Drosophila melanogaster: one gene and its partner. The protein of the gene in region 1 binds, or shares a complex with, the protein of each later gene. Each region holds a gene or a part of one and is shown on either strand. Other genes may lie near its edges.

Region 1 (6,012 bases):
CCCTAACCCATGACTATTTTAATTTCCCCTCACTACTGGATGAGGCCATGTTGCAACAGTTGATGCAGCTGCAAGATTCCGGATTGCTCAATCGCACGGTGGTAATGTTGCTATCCGATCACGGACTGAGATGGGGTTCCTTTCGTCGTACCTACCAGGGCATGATGGAGGAGCGCCAGCCCCTAATGATGCTTTTGTATCCGCCATGGATGACCGAGCGTTATCCGGAGGCAATTGCCAATCTTAGGTTAAATGCCCGCCGGCTAACCACACCATTTGATGTGCACGCGACAATGTTGCAGCTGCTAAATCTTCACAATCTGGAGGCAGATCAGTTGCAACGCAGATCAACAGAGATGGACGAGCCGGATAGCACGCTGCCCAGAGGCATTAGCCTATTCCTGCCCATCCCGGCTGCTCGGACCTGCGAGCAGGCAGGGATTGCCGCCCACTGGTGCACCTGCCATCAGCGCCAGGAGCTGCAGACAAACGATCCACGTGTCCAGCGGGCGGCGCGCTATCTGGTACGCTTGATCAATAACCGACTGAAGGATAGCTCACAGTGCAGAACCCTATACCTGAACTCCATACTCCAGGCTCTGATTGCAGCGCCGCACTCGAAGATTGTGAAGAACATTTCCACGGACTACGCAGTGGACATCACCCTGCGACTGCAGACGAAGCCCGGGCTGGGTGTGTTTGAGTCCACGGTGCGGATGACGGGCTATACGACCGTACTAACGGGCACCATTAGTCGTCTGAATCTGTACGGAAGCCAGAGCTACTGTCTCAACGATCCGGCGCTAAAAATGTTCTGCTATTGCCACAGATAAGGCAATGGCAATGTAACTGGGAGCTTTCGGGGATGGGGAGGATGTGTTTGACGTCAAAGACTTGAAACCCATTAACGTAGCCTTAGCCATAAAACCTAGTTTATTTCTATGAAATAGCCAATGTTTGTATAAAAATACTTATCCAATTTTAGCCTTTGCCGTAAGGAGTTCCCAGTCTTAGGCACCTATGTAGTCACGGTAGTTGAGCGGAATTTGTTTATTTCCCACTAACTTAGAGGACAATAAACTGAATGAACTAATAATCGTAATAACCGCAGAATTACTTTGTGTATGTAAAATAAATGATAAGCTATTACTGACTAGGGAGGGAAGTGGCGAACATATAAATAAATAATAGTATCCAAAATATGTAGCACTTAATGTTGTAGACCATAATTGAGTTGTTATATACATATATAATGCACTTTTTGTTTAGTATCTCATGATTTATAGCCTTATGCTGAGTTAATAAATGAATAATAGGATGAACTTTTTATAAATGAGTCAATTGGGAATATCCCTTTCTAGTTACAAATTTATTTAGATGCTAAATTATATTTAGCCACGTACTTTAATAATTTTCATAACATTTATGAACCAATGCACATGTATATTTTTGGTGATTGACAATTTATAAAATGTAATAAATCTATAAAAAAAATCGAACGTTTTTATTTAACAAGACCATATATATAAAATTATAAATTTTGCTCTGAGCTCGTTTACCTGTTTTATATCATAAATTCAAATCCCGATAGCTATAACCACAATTTTATCGATACTATCGAAAAAACAACATTTTCAGCTATAGTTGTGCTGTCGTTATTCCAGCTAGATTTATGGGTGTTACAAACTTTTGCGACAAAATATTAGGTACAATTTTTTCATATAATGTTCTAGTTTAATTTTGTAATTTTTTTAATATATTATCAAAAACTATAGCAACAGCATTATTGAAAAATAGCCAGCTTAACGAGGTCCTGGAAATTCATTTGTCGGAAAAAATGCTTAATTGCCAACACAGACGCCTGTTGTTATTGTCTATCGTTCTTATCAGTTCAGTTTCTTCGTTTAATTTTTGTTTGTTGCAAAAATGGTTTAAATTCGCAGTCTTTTGCTTTTTGAGCACTTATTAGAGTAGGACAATATGCCGCCCACGGAGACACTGCGTCCGGGAGAACGCGGAACAGCCGGTGGACCGGGAGCAGGAGCACCCGAACAAACGTACATCGTCAGGCAGAGCAACAAATACTATGAACACCGAGATTCCCAGGCCACGGCCATGTCGGTTGATTACTCGGGTCAGTGGGTGCTCCTCGCGGGCCGTGGTCACCTGGCTTTGCAGCGTTTGGGACAGGACGATGGGTCTCTGCGACGACATGAACGGCAATCGAAGTACGAGGTGTCCGTAGCAGAGTTTGCCATATGTCCCAGTCGCAAAGAGTACTGCGCCATAGCGGTAAATACATAAAGTTATCTACGTATAGGCGGCGTTTATCCCAGTTTGACCTTTGAATTTCAGACTAGCCAGCACATAGACATCGTTCGCTGGGGCACTGCGGAACCACACTACGAGATGTCCTTGCGTGGGCATACTCGAACAGTGACCGACATTGACTGGCACGGCAAGGATCCGAATCTGCTGGTCAGCTGCTCAATAGACACATTTTCTCATATTTGGGACTTAAGGGAGCCCAGGAAACCAGCCCTGTCCTTGAATGCCGTGTGCATGTGTAAGTTTCTACAAAATAATTTCAACTTTTTTATATTATATTTAAAATTCTTTCAGCTGGTGCTACACAAGTGGGATTCAACCGCGTTTCGGGCAACCTTTTGGCTGCTGCCCATGATGGAGATTTACGCATCTGGGATATTCGCAAGGGTAGTTGCCCGACGCACTATATCACAGCACATTTAAATAGAGTGCATGGCATCAATTGGAGCCACAAAAGGGAGACCTGCTTGGCAACCGCCAGTCAGGATGGAACGGTCAAGTACTTTGATGTATGTAATCCTCGCAGGGCCGAGAAGATCATTACAACCATGTCGCCCGTTTGGAGAGCGAGATACACGGTAATTTATATTGGTTTATCAATATTGATTGCTATTCTAAATACATCTTGTTCCATACAGCCTATTGGCAACGGTCTGGTTAGCATTGTGGTGCCCCATTTGGGACGCGGAGAGAATAGTTTGCTGCTCTGGAGCAACAGCAAGCAAACGGACCCTATTTGTTCCTTCGTGGGGCACACCGATGTCATTCTTGACTTTGCCTGGCGTCCAAATCGTGAAAGTTCCAATGAAATAGTAAGTATTTTAAAGATACCACAATGTTCTTACTTATGCATTGAGCTTTAATTAGGAACTGGTCACTTGGTCCAGGGATCGCACGCTGCGGGTGTGGAAGATCGATGATAATATGCTAAAGCTTTGCGAACCGTCTGCGGAAGAAATAGAATCCCGTTTCGAGCCCGATCTCAGTGAGTTAAGAGTGCCTACTCCTCCAGAATTCCTGCATCCACGATCAATTTTGGTTGCCGCTTCGTTGCCCATATCCACGGGTGACGGTGCTTGTAATACCTTGCCCATGGCTCGCTCCCCGAGCTTTGGAGGTGGCTACTATCGCAGGGAAGAGCCCCACATAGCCAGATCACTAACAGATCAACCCACGTGTTCGCTGCACCACGAATTCTCGCTGCTCAACACAAACATGCCTCATGTGGAGGTAGACACACTAGATGCCATAAAGCGGTACGCCTGCTTCAAGATTTGCGCCGGTGGACACACGGTTATTTTACAAGTGACTTTCACGACATCGTATCCAAGTCCTAGTGCTCCGCCGGACTTTCAGCTTTGCCAGGGAACCACTCTGTCCAGTGAAGTTAGTGGAGTTCTGCTAAAAGTGCTCCGTTGCAATGCATTGCAACGGGTCAAGAAATCCCGCACGTGCCTGGAACAATGCCTACGTGCTCTAGTGGCGGCTATGAAGAAAAAGGTGGCCGCTGTAGGCGGAGCGGATCGTAGCCAACTGCTCCTGCAATCCCCTCGGCTGGAAGGAGCTTTGTCGAGCACCCTGCACGATGCCTGCATTCCATATCCGCGGACGTCAGGGGTCCATTTCAATGCCATTGGTATGCTGACCACTTTCGCCCAACCAGTGAACAACAAAAGGCTGACCCTGCGGCAACACACCGCATTGACTCCACGGACTTTTTCATCGATTAATGGTAGTGGATTGCTAGGCAATGTGATGGCCACCGCCCAGAGGGAAGCTAACGCCTCCTTTTACCTCCAGGAGAGGATGATTTCGGGAAAACCGGGCAAGCAGCGAGCCATCCGACAGATGAATGGAAGTCCGGTGGTTCACGTATACGACACAAGTAGCTTACTCCACATTAGTCGGAGAATGGCTCGGGAGTTCTCCCTCGATAAGTGCAACATAGCAGAAACGTGTCGTAAAAATGGTGAGATCTGTCGCCAGCATGGGCGCTTGGACTTGGTGCCCGTGTGGCTATTGGCGGAACTGATAGCCACACCCCAAATTCCACATGAAACACTCAACGATCTGCTGTTCTACAAAGATCCCTTCAAGAAATCTCTGCTGGAATCACTAATAATGCATTATGCTATCTCCGGTGACATACAGACTGCTGTGCTGCTGGCTTGTTTGTTTGACAAGTGCCCCACGGGTGGCGGTGCCATTATGGAGAAGACAGTTCGACTTCCGCCGCAGCTTAACTCGCAAATTTCACCGTATCACACGGTCCTGCCGCTTGACGTCAAGTCATCTTCTTCATCGAACACTTGGCAGCAACTTAAGCAACTACGCAGCAACTCTTGGTCCGACTCCCTGGATTTGGAGATTAAGCAAATCCAGTCTGATGCATACGCTTGCTCATTGATTAGACGGACTAAGATGCCACTGTTTGATCAATTTAAGCGCGCCTATGCCGAAATTTTATTTGGCTGGCAGTTGCTTTCGAAGCGGGCTTTGATCCTCAAGCACACGCAGAATACACCACCTCCAGTCCAGGGTGTGGAATTCGTTACCGAGTGCAGGAAGTGTGCCAAGCCCAAACGGACGCCCAAATGCGAGCCCTGCAAGCGACCCGTACTCTTCTGCGTCCTCTGCCGTTTGCCTGTGAAAGGAGCAGCCAATGCGTGTCTGGCTTGTGGCCATGGCGGTCACATTGATCACATGATGCAGTGGTTTGAGGTTGGTATCTATTTGAGTTTGATTCGACTGGTTTCTTTTTCACGAACCAAACGATGTATGGATTTGGATTTATGGATTTATGGATATAAATATATTCATGTTTGCTATTTTCTTGTTTAACTTTCAGAAACACAATGTCTGTGCTACGTGTGGCTGCAAGTGCTTGGAGCGCACCTCAGAGCTGCTAGCCCTACTCAGCTGATTCAGACCTTGAGTGATGTGCATTCCTTTCAAAAATAATCTTACTTAACTTTCTTTCGTCTGTGTGGATATCAAAATAGTTAGGTGTTTTTTAGTCATTAGGCCAACAATTTTTGTACGATTTGCATACCATTGAGAAATATATGACCACTTACTAGCCAAGCTAAGGGTAAAAGCTTTATGCAACTATACACTTAACCAAAATCATATGGTTACGATAATTCAAAAAGAACTGTTTCTAGATTTTTTCAAGTACATACATTTATTCTTTTTTATTATCGACTTTTGCTTTCTGTTTTTTTTTTTTTTTTTTAGCTTAAATTCTACGATTTACTTGTAGTTTTTGCATTTGCAATCTAATAATTTTTTTGTTTTGTCCGTCATAATAAAGTTTGCTTTAGTTTTGAAAATAATTTTTAAATAAGTTTCTACAGCTCCTATTCTTGTTTTTGTGTGTTTTCTTTTGTTCATTAAGCGTCATAAAGATAAAAAGGAAAATAAAAGGAACGCAAAAATAAAATAATAAAAAAATATATTGCAATTTAGTAGGCGAATCATTATAAAGATAATACAATTTTGATATAGCGACATAAACATTAGATATACGGCCTTACTATAAACAAATCACGCACAAAACAAATAAACAATAAAATGAAAGGCATAGATTCAATTTCAACTTTTTAAGGGATGAACTTAGCTGAGAGCTTTTTAGCATACTAACTTCTTTTTGGACTTAACTACAAGCGTGTATTTATAAATGTG
Region 2 (5,278 bases), on another chromosome or scaffold:
GAAGCGCAATGCAACAAAACTAAAATTGGATTCTAAGAAAACATTAAATGCATATAGGCATTGCCAAAATTCCATTGCGCTGAGGGCATGATGGATTTTTGGACAGCGCTGGCTGGCGGTGGTGTCCTTGTGGACGGACGTGCTTGTCCACCCACCCGCGAGGACATACAATTAGATATTTAGTTAAAGACAACCGCAACATATGTTGCTCTCTGTTTTTAATCCCTACAGAACTCTCAATTTTATAATTTTTTCTCCCCTTTCTGCTACTGAATGTGCGGCTCGACCTCTCAACTCCAAGGTGGTTGTAATATTACCTTTTAAGAGCACCTTCATCAAGTAGCCCTAAGATTGAAACACTCGCATAACTGTTAAACTGTTATTAACACTAATCAACAATAGCGATTAAAACCCAATACGAATCTTTCAAAAACCTTTAATGATTGAAGAAATTCAATAAAGTGGACACTTTTTTCAAAAGCCCAGAATGTTTATAAACTTACTTGCATCAACAGACAACAGTTTTATTTTCCAATATTTCAAAAAAAGTTAAGTAACAAACATTTGTGCTATTTAAAGTTGCAGAAGATCGATTAAACCTGTCTGTTAATTTACTTCACAAACGTTGAGCTTATTTTACAAGTTTACATCTTCGAGCTACATTTATATAAAAATCTGTTTAGTGTCTAGTGCAAGGTACTTATTGGGCTTAAGTCTTCTCTATTTACAAGGCTCTCAAATGGGGGGCAAAAGCTGGGCAAACCCAGCCTCCTCCGCGTCTCATGAGTACGCGCAAAGGTGTCCGCACTTGGGGCACTTGGAGTGTTTGGCAAAGTACTTCTGCAGGTGCTCTATGTGACCGCCGTGGGAGCATCCTTGGCACCAGGCGTAGACTCCCCGGACGATCAGACCGCAGACGCAGCACTTGGCGGACTGCATGGACTTGCACTTGTCGCAGTACCATCCCACCTTGCCGCCCATTGGACGTCCACACTCTCCACAGTTCGTGTGCATGGCGGTCGAGTGCTGGTTGAGCTGCTGCACCGATCTCAGCCAGGAGCGGTTGATAACCTCGCAGGCCTCGTTCCACAGCTCATAGCGATGCAGCTGGTCCACGTAGGTGTAAAACCAGTGCTCCTGAAAAGGAAGAAAACCGGATGAATAACTCCGTTCTGATCCCAACTTTGTCTTTGAACTCACCACCAATGCATCGTCAATGGGCAGGAGCTTCCGAGCTTCTCCCAGCGCTATAAGGACTGTCAGAGCTGTTTGCACATCGCCCACATCGTTCATTAGCATGAGGGCATCGGAGACGAACTTATGCGGTTCCCACATGGGTATGGGCGGGACATGGCTGACTTTTAGGACAGTGGGAACATGCGGTGGCTAAAAAGAGGATGAATAAGTTAGTTAAGCTGTAAATACATCGAGTTCTCAATAATCTCAACTAACAGGTGACTTTTCGTGATCGGACGCCTTGAGATCCAGTTGTGGTCGTGCAGCCTGCACATCGTGATGAAGGGCGGGGAAGGCCAAAGCTTTCGGGCATTCTGTGGGACCCACGTAGATAAACCCATTGCGCAAGAGCTCAAAGTTGTCAAAGGTAATCTCGCTGATGATTTGCGTTTCGGACAGAATCACTGAGCTCGTAGGCGGATGCTCCACACCACTGCTGCCGAGCGTATCATCGTCCACATTCGCCACATCAATTTCGTGGGCTGTTTCCGGCGTGTTTCCATTGAGATCCTGGCCTAGTTCAGTTCGCTGCTGTGGCCAATCGCTGGCTACTTGCGTGGCACGTCGTGAGTTCATTGGATTCTTTTGATTCGAGAAGGAGGAGCGGTGCTCGAAGGGAGGCTCAAAGTGATTGCTGCCGTAGAACAATTTGATAAAGTTCCACAATGTGGTGGCCTGAAAAATGTAGATGCTAAGTTTTGGCAAATTTTGGGAATAATCTCAAGCGCTTACATTATGTTTGCCGTATTTCTTGGAAACCTCTGCATTGTGCTCGCATAACTCCGATAGTTTTTTCCCACTGATAACAAGTTCCCTGGCACAGCCAATAAAACTTTCGTGTTCTTGGGTGGGTCTTGAAACAGATTCGCTTAGGGGATAGCCGGAAAACTGAAATATATCAATTAGTATCAGATTTGGCAAAGAAATCCCTAATAGTGTCATACTAACCGTGTCGTTTACCATGAATTTGTACATTTTGGAATGGTCCAAATGGAACTGAATGCTGCCAGCCACATTCGTCTTACGGCGACTTCTAAAATACACATACATATAAACATACAAGTTGATACAACAAATACGACATACATGAAGCTAGAAGACTTGGTATTGGATGCACCGCTGGTCTTGGGTTCATACTCCTTGATCTTGTTGGCAAAGGAGATGTCCCCAAATCTGCCCAGGCTAGCTCCCTGGGCATTTGCCTTCAGCGCTGGCCTCGTGGCATCCTTAAAAGCATGTTTGTAAATGGTGGAGTCCTTGCTGATGGACAGAAGACAGTGCGAGTCGCTGCCCTGCCACGCAATTCCAGTAGTCACATTGGTGTGCTCGTTGAAGGAGGCAAAGGGGATGTAGGGTCTGCGGATGTCCCACACATGAACGCTGTAGTCCACCACAAGGGCACAACTAGCGATGTGATAACTGGAAAGGATTAAACAGATTTAATATAAATAAGACTGTTAAACCTGGCTAGAAAAACCTACGTTCTTTCTGGTCGCCACTTAACCCGTCCCACTACGGCGATTGTGTGAATGGTGTGCTCCAATCCCGGCCTGCCATCCATGTTCCACACCTTGATCTGCTTGTCCCGACTTCCGGTGGCCAGCCAATTCCTTGTGGGATGCCAGTCGCATGTGTAGACTGGCCCGTAGTGCGCCGTAAACTGCACCATGCACTTGTCCCACTTCCGCATGTCCCACAACTGGACAGTTCCATTCTCGGAGACGGCGGAGAATATGTTTTGTGTGTGTGGACTGAACTTGACATCCCGCACTGATTCCGAGTTGCAGAAGTAGGTGTTGATTGACTTATCCGATCGGATGTCGAAACACTTGATGGTGCCATCCTGAGAACCGGAGATCAGGATGTTGGGCTCGCTGCTGTGAAAGGTCACGGTATGAGCGGTGCGCTCATGTTCGTTGTAGACAAGCAGCTGCTTCTGCCTGCCGAACTTGGAGAGATCCCACACGGAAACCACTCCGTTCGTGGCCGCCGTAGCCAAAAGATTGCTATCCAAGGTGGACCAGGCCACATCGTTGGCGGAGTAGCTAAGATTCTGGTTCTTTCCGCGCATATTACACGATTCCGTGAAGCCATTGCTGTTTATGGAGTACACCTTAAGCACTGTTCGGAAGCAAATTATGTGTATTTATAGAAAGACCTTGGGCAATTCTAATCTTACAGCTTCTTCCGGCCAAAGCAATCTGGTTGTTGTCCTTATTCAGGGCCAGGGCGTTCGCGTGTCCTTCCAGGCATATCCGCAGCGAGATTGTGGAGGTGTCCTCCACGGAATCGGGCATCCTGCAGCAGTTGCAAGTTCGCCCGCAGAAAGCAAAACAGTGATTTGATAAGACAAGACGCTATCTTTTATTTTCCTTTCGGTTCAGTATGACCGTTTCTCGAGCGGCAAACCATTGGCGCGAGTGTTCCCAAATGCAGATGTTGAATATTGTTTGAACAAAAGACTTATTGTACTAAAGTTGTATTATTCACATATAATTAATGTATTCTATACATATACAGACAGAAACATTAATTTCAATTAAGCTATTAAATTCTTTGAAACTTCTTGGAACACTCCAATAAGATCTGCCAGTTGGAGCGCGTCGTTGCCGGACCATCCACACCGACGGAGTGGCAACGCCATTCGTGCGGCCTTGCTGTTTACAAAAATCACGGTCGACTTTTTCGACAATTTCATTTACCAGCGCAACAAGTGGCCGCAAGAAAGCAGGAGAGTGGAGCCGGGTGATCCTGATCCCTTCCAGAAATGCCGGACATCAAGATAACGCCCTTGGGCGCCGGCCAGGATGTGGGCCGCAGCTGTCTGCTGCTCTCGATGGGCGGGAAGAACATAATGCTCGACTGCGGGATGCATATGGGCTACAACGACGAGCGCCGCTTCCCGGACTTCTCCTACATAGTGCCGGAGGGTCCGATCACCAGCCACATTGACTGTGTGATCATCTCGCACTTCCACCTGGGTGAGTCTCGGCCTCCCAAAGGCGCTCTTATCTGGTCAACTGGCTCTAATCGTTTCTTTATCGATTGCATGCATTCCAGATCACTGCGGGGCCTTGCCCTACATGTCAGAGATTGTGGGCTACACGGGGCCCATCTACATGACGCATCCGACCAAGGCCATAGCACCCATCCTCCTGGAGGACATGCGGAAGGTGGCCGTAGAGCGGAAAGGCGAGTCGAACTTCTTTACCACCCAGATGATCAAGGACTGCATGAAGAAGGTGATTCCCGTCACACTTCACCAGAGTATGATGGTGGACACGGACCTTGAGATCAAAGCCTACTATGCAGGCCATGTCCTGGGCGCCGCCATGTTCTGGATCAAGGTGGGCTCCCAGAGCGTTGTCTACACGGGGGACTACAACATGACTCCAGACAGGCATCTGGGAGCCGCCTGGATAGACAAGTGCCGGCCGGACTTGCTGATCTCCGAGAGCACCTACGCCACTACCATTAGGGACTCGAAGCGGTGTCGCGAGAGGGACTTCCTCAAGAAAGTTCACGAGTGCGTGGCTAAGGGCGGCAAGGTTTTAATCCCTGTTTTTGCCCTGGGTCGCGCCCAGGAGCTGTGCATCCTGCTGGAGACGTACTGGGAGCGCATGAACCTCAAGTACCCCATATACTTTGCTCTGGGTCTTACCGAGAAGGCCAATACCTACTACAAAATGTTCATCACCTGGACGAACCAGAAGATCCGCAAGACCTTCGTTCACCGCAACATGTTCGACTTCAAGCACATCAAGCCCTTTGACAAGGCCTACATCGACAATCCTGGCGCGATGGTAGTGTTCGCCACGCCAGGCATGCTGCACGCAGGTCTTTCCCTGCAGATCTTCAAGAAGTGGGCGCCGAATGAGAACAACATGGTGATTATGCCCGGCTACTGTGTGCAGGGAACCGTGGGCAACAAGATTCTCGGTGGCGCCAAGAAGGTGGAGTTCGAGAACCGCCAGGTGGTCGAGGTCAAAATGGCCGTGGAGTACATGAGCTTCTCGGCCCATGCAGATGCCAAAGGTGGCTA

What was found.
Region 2: Wdr59 (region 1) and Wdr24 share a complex: the UniProt entries of both Drosophila melanogaster proteins name them as parts of the GATOR complex.

The regions. Positions count from the first base shown.
Region 1 is NT_033779.5:11,089,587-11,095,598, forward strand, and holds Wdr59 (WD repeat domain 59), read left to right. Parts: upstream 1-1,857; 5' UTR 1,858-1,980; coding exon 1,981-2,292; intron 2,293-2,355; coding exon 2,356-2,566; intron 2,567-2,622; coding exon 2,623-2,906; intron 2,907-2,966; coding exon 2,967-3,140; intron 3,141-3,195; coding exon 3,196-5,049; intron 5,050-5,176; coding exon 5,177-5,251; 3' UTR 5,252-5,510; downstream 5,511-6,012. Other genes in the region: CG16854 (uncharacterized protein), read left to right, coding at 1-833. UniProt on the Drosophila melanogaster protein: A component of the GATOR complex, which functions as a regulator of the amino acid-sensing branch of the mTORC1 signaling pathway.
Region 2 is NT_033777.3:29,741,467-29,746,744, forward strand, and holds Wdr24 (WD repeat domain 24), read right to left. Parts: upstream 3,627-5,278; 5' UTR 3,534-3,626; coding exon 3,416-3,533; intron 3,358-3,415; coding exon 2,718-3,357; intron 2,656-2,717; coding exon 2,323-2,655; intron 2,270-2,322; coding exon 2,185-2,269; intron 2,125-2,184; coding exon 1,969-2,124; intron 1,912-1,968; coding exon 1,453-1,911; intron 1,387-1,452; coding exon 1,201-1,386; intron 1,138-1,200; coding exon 781-1,137; 3' UTR 506-780; downstream 1-505. Other genes in the region: Gnpnat (Glucosamine-phosphate N-acetyltransferase), read left to right, coding at 232-273; IntS11 (integrator 11), read left to right, coding at 4,004-4,217, 4,297-5,271. UniProt on the Drosophila melanogaster protein: An essential component of the GATOR subcomplex GATOR2 which functions as an activator of the amino acid-sensing branch of the mTORC1 signaling pathway.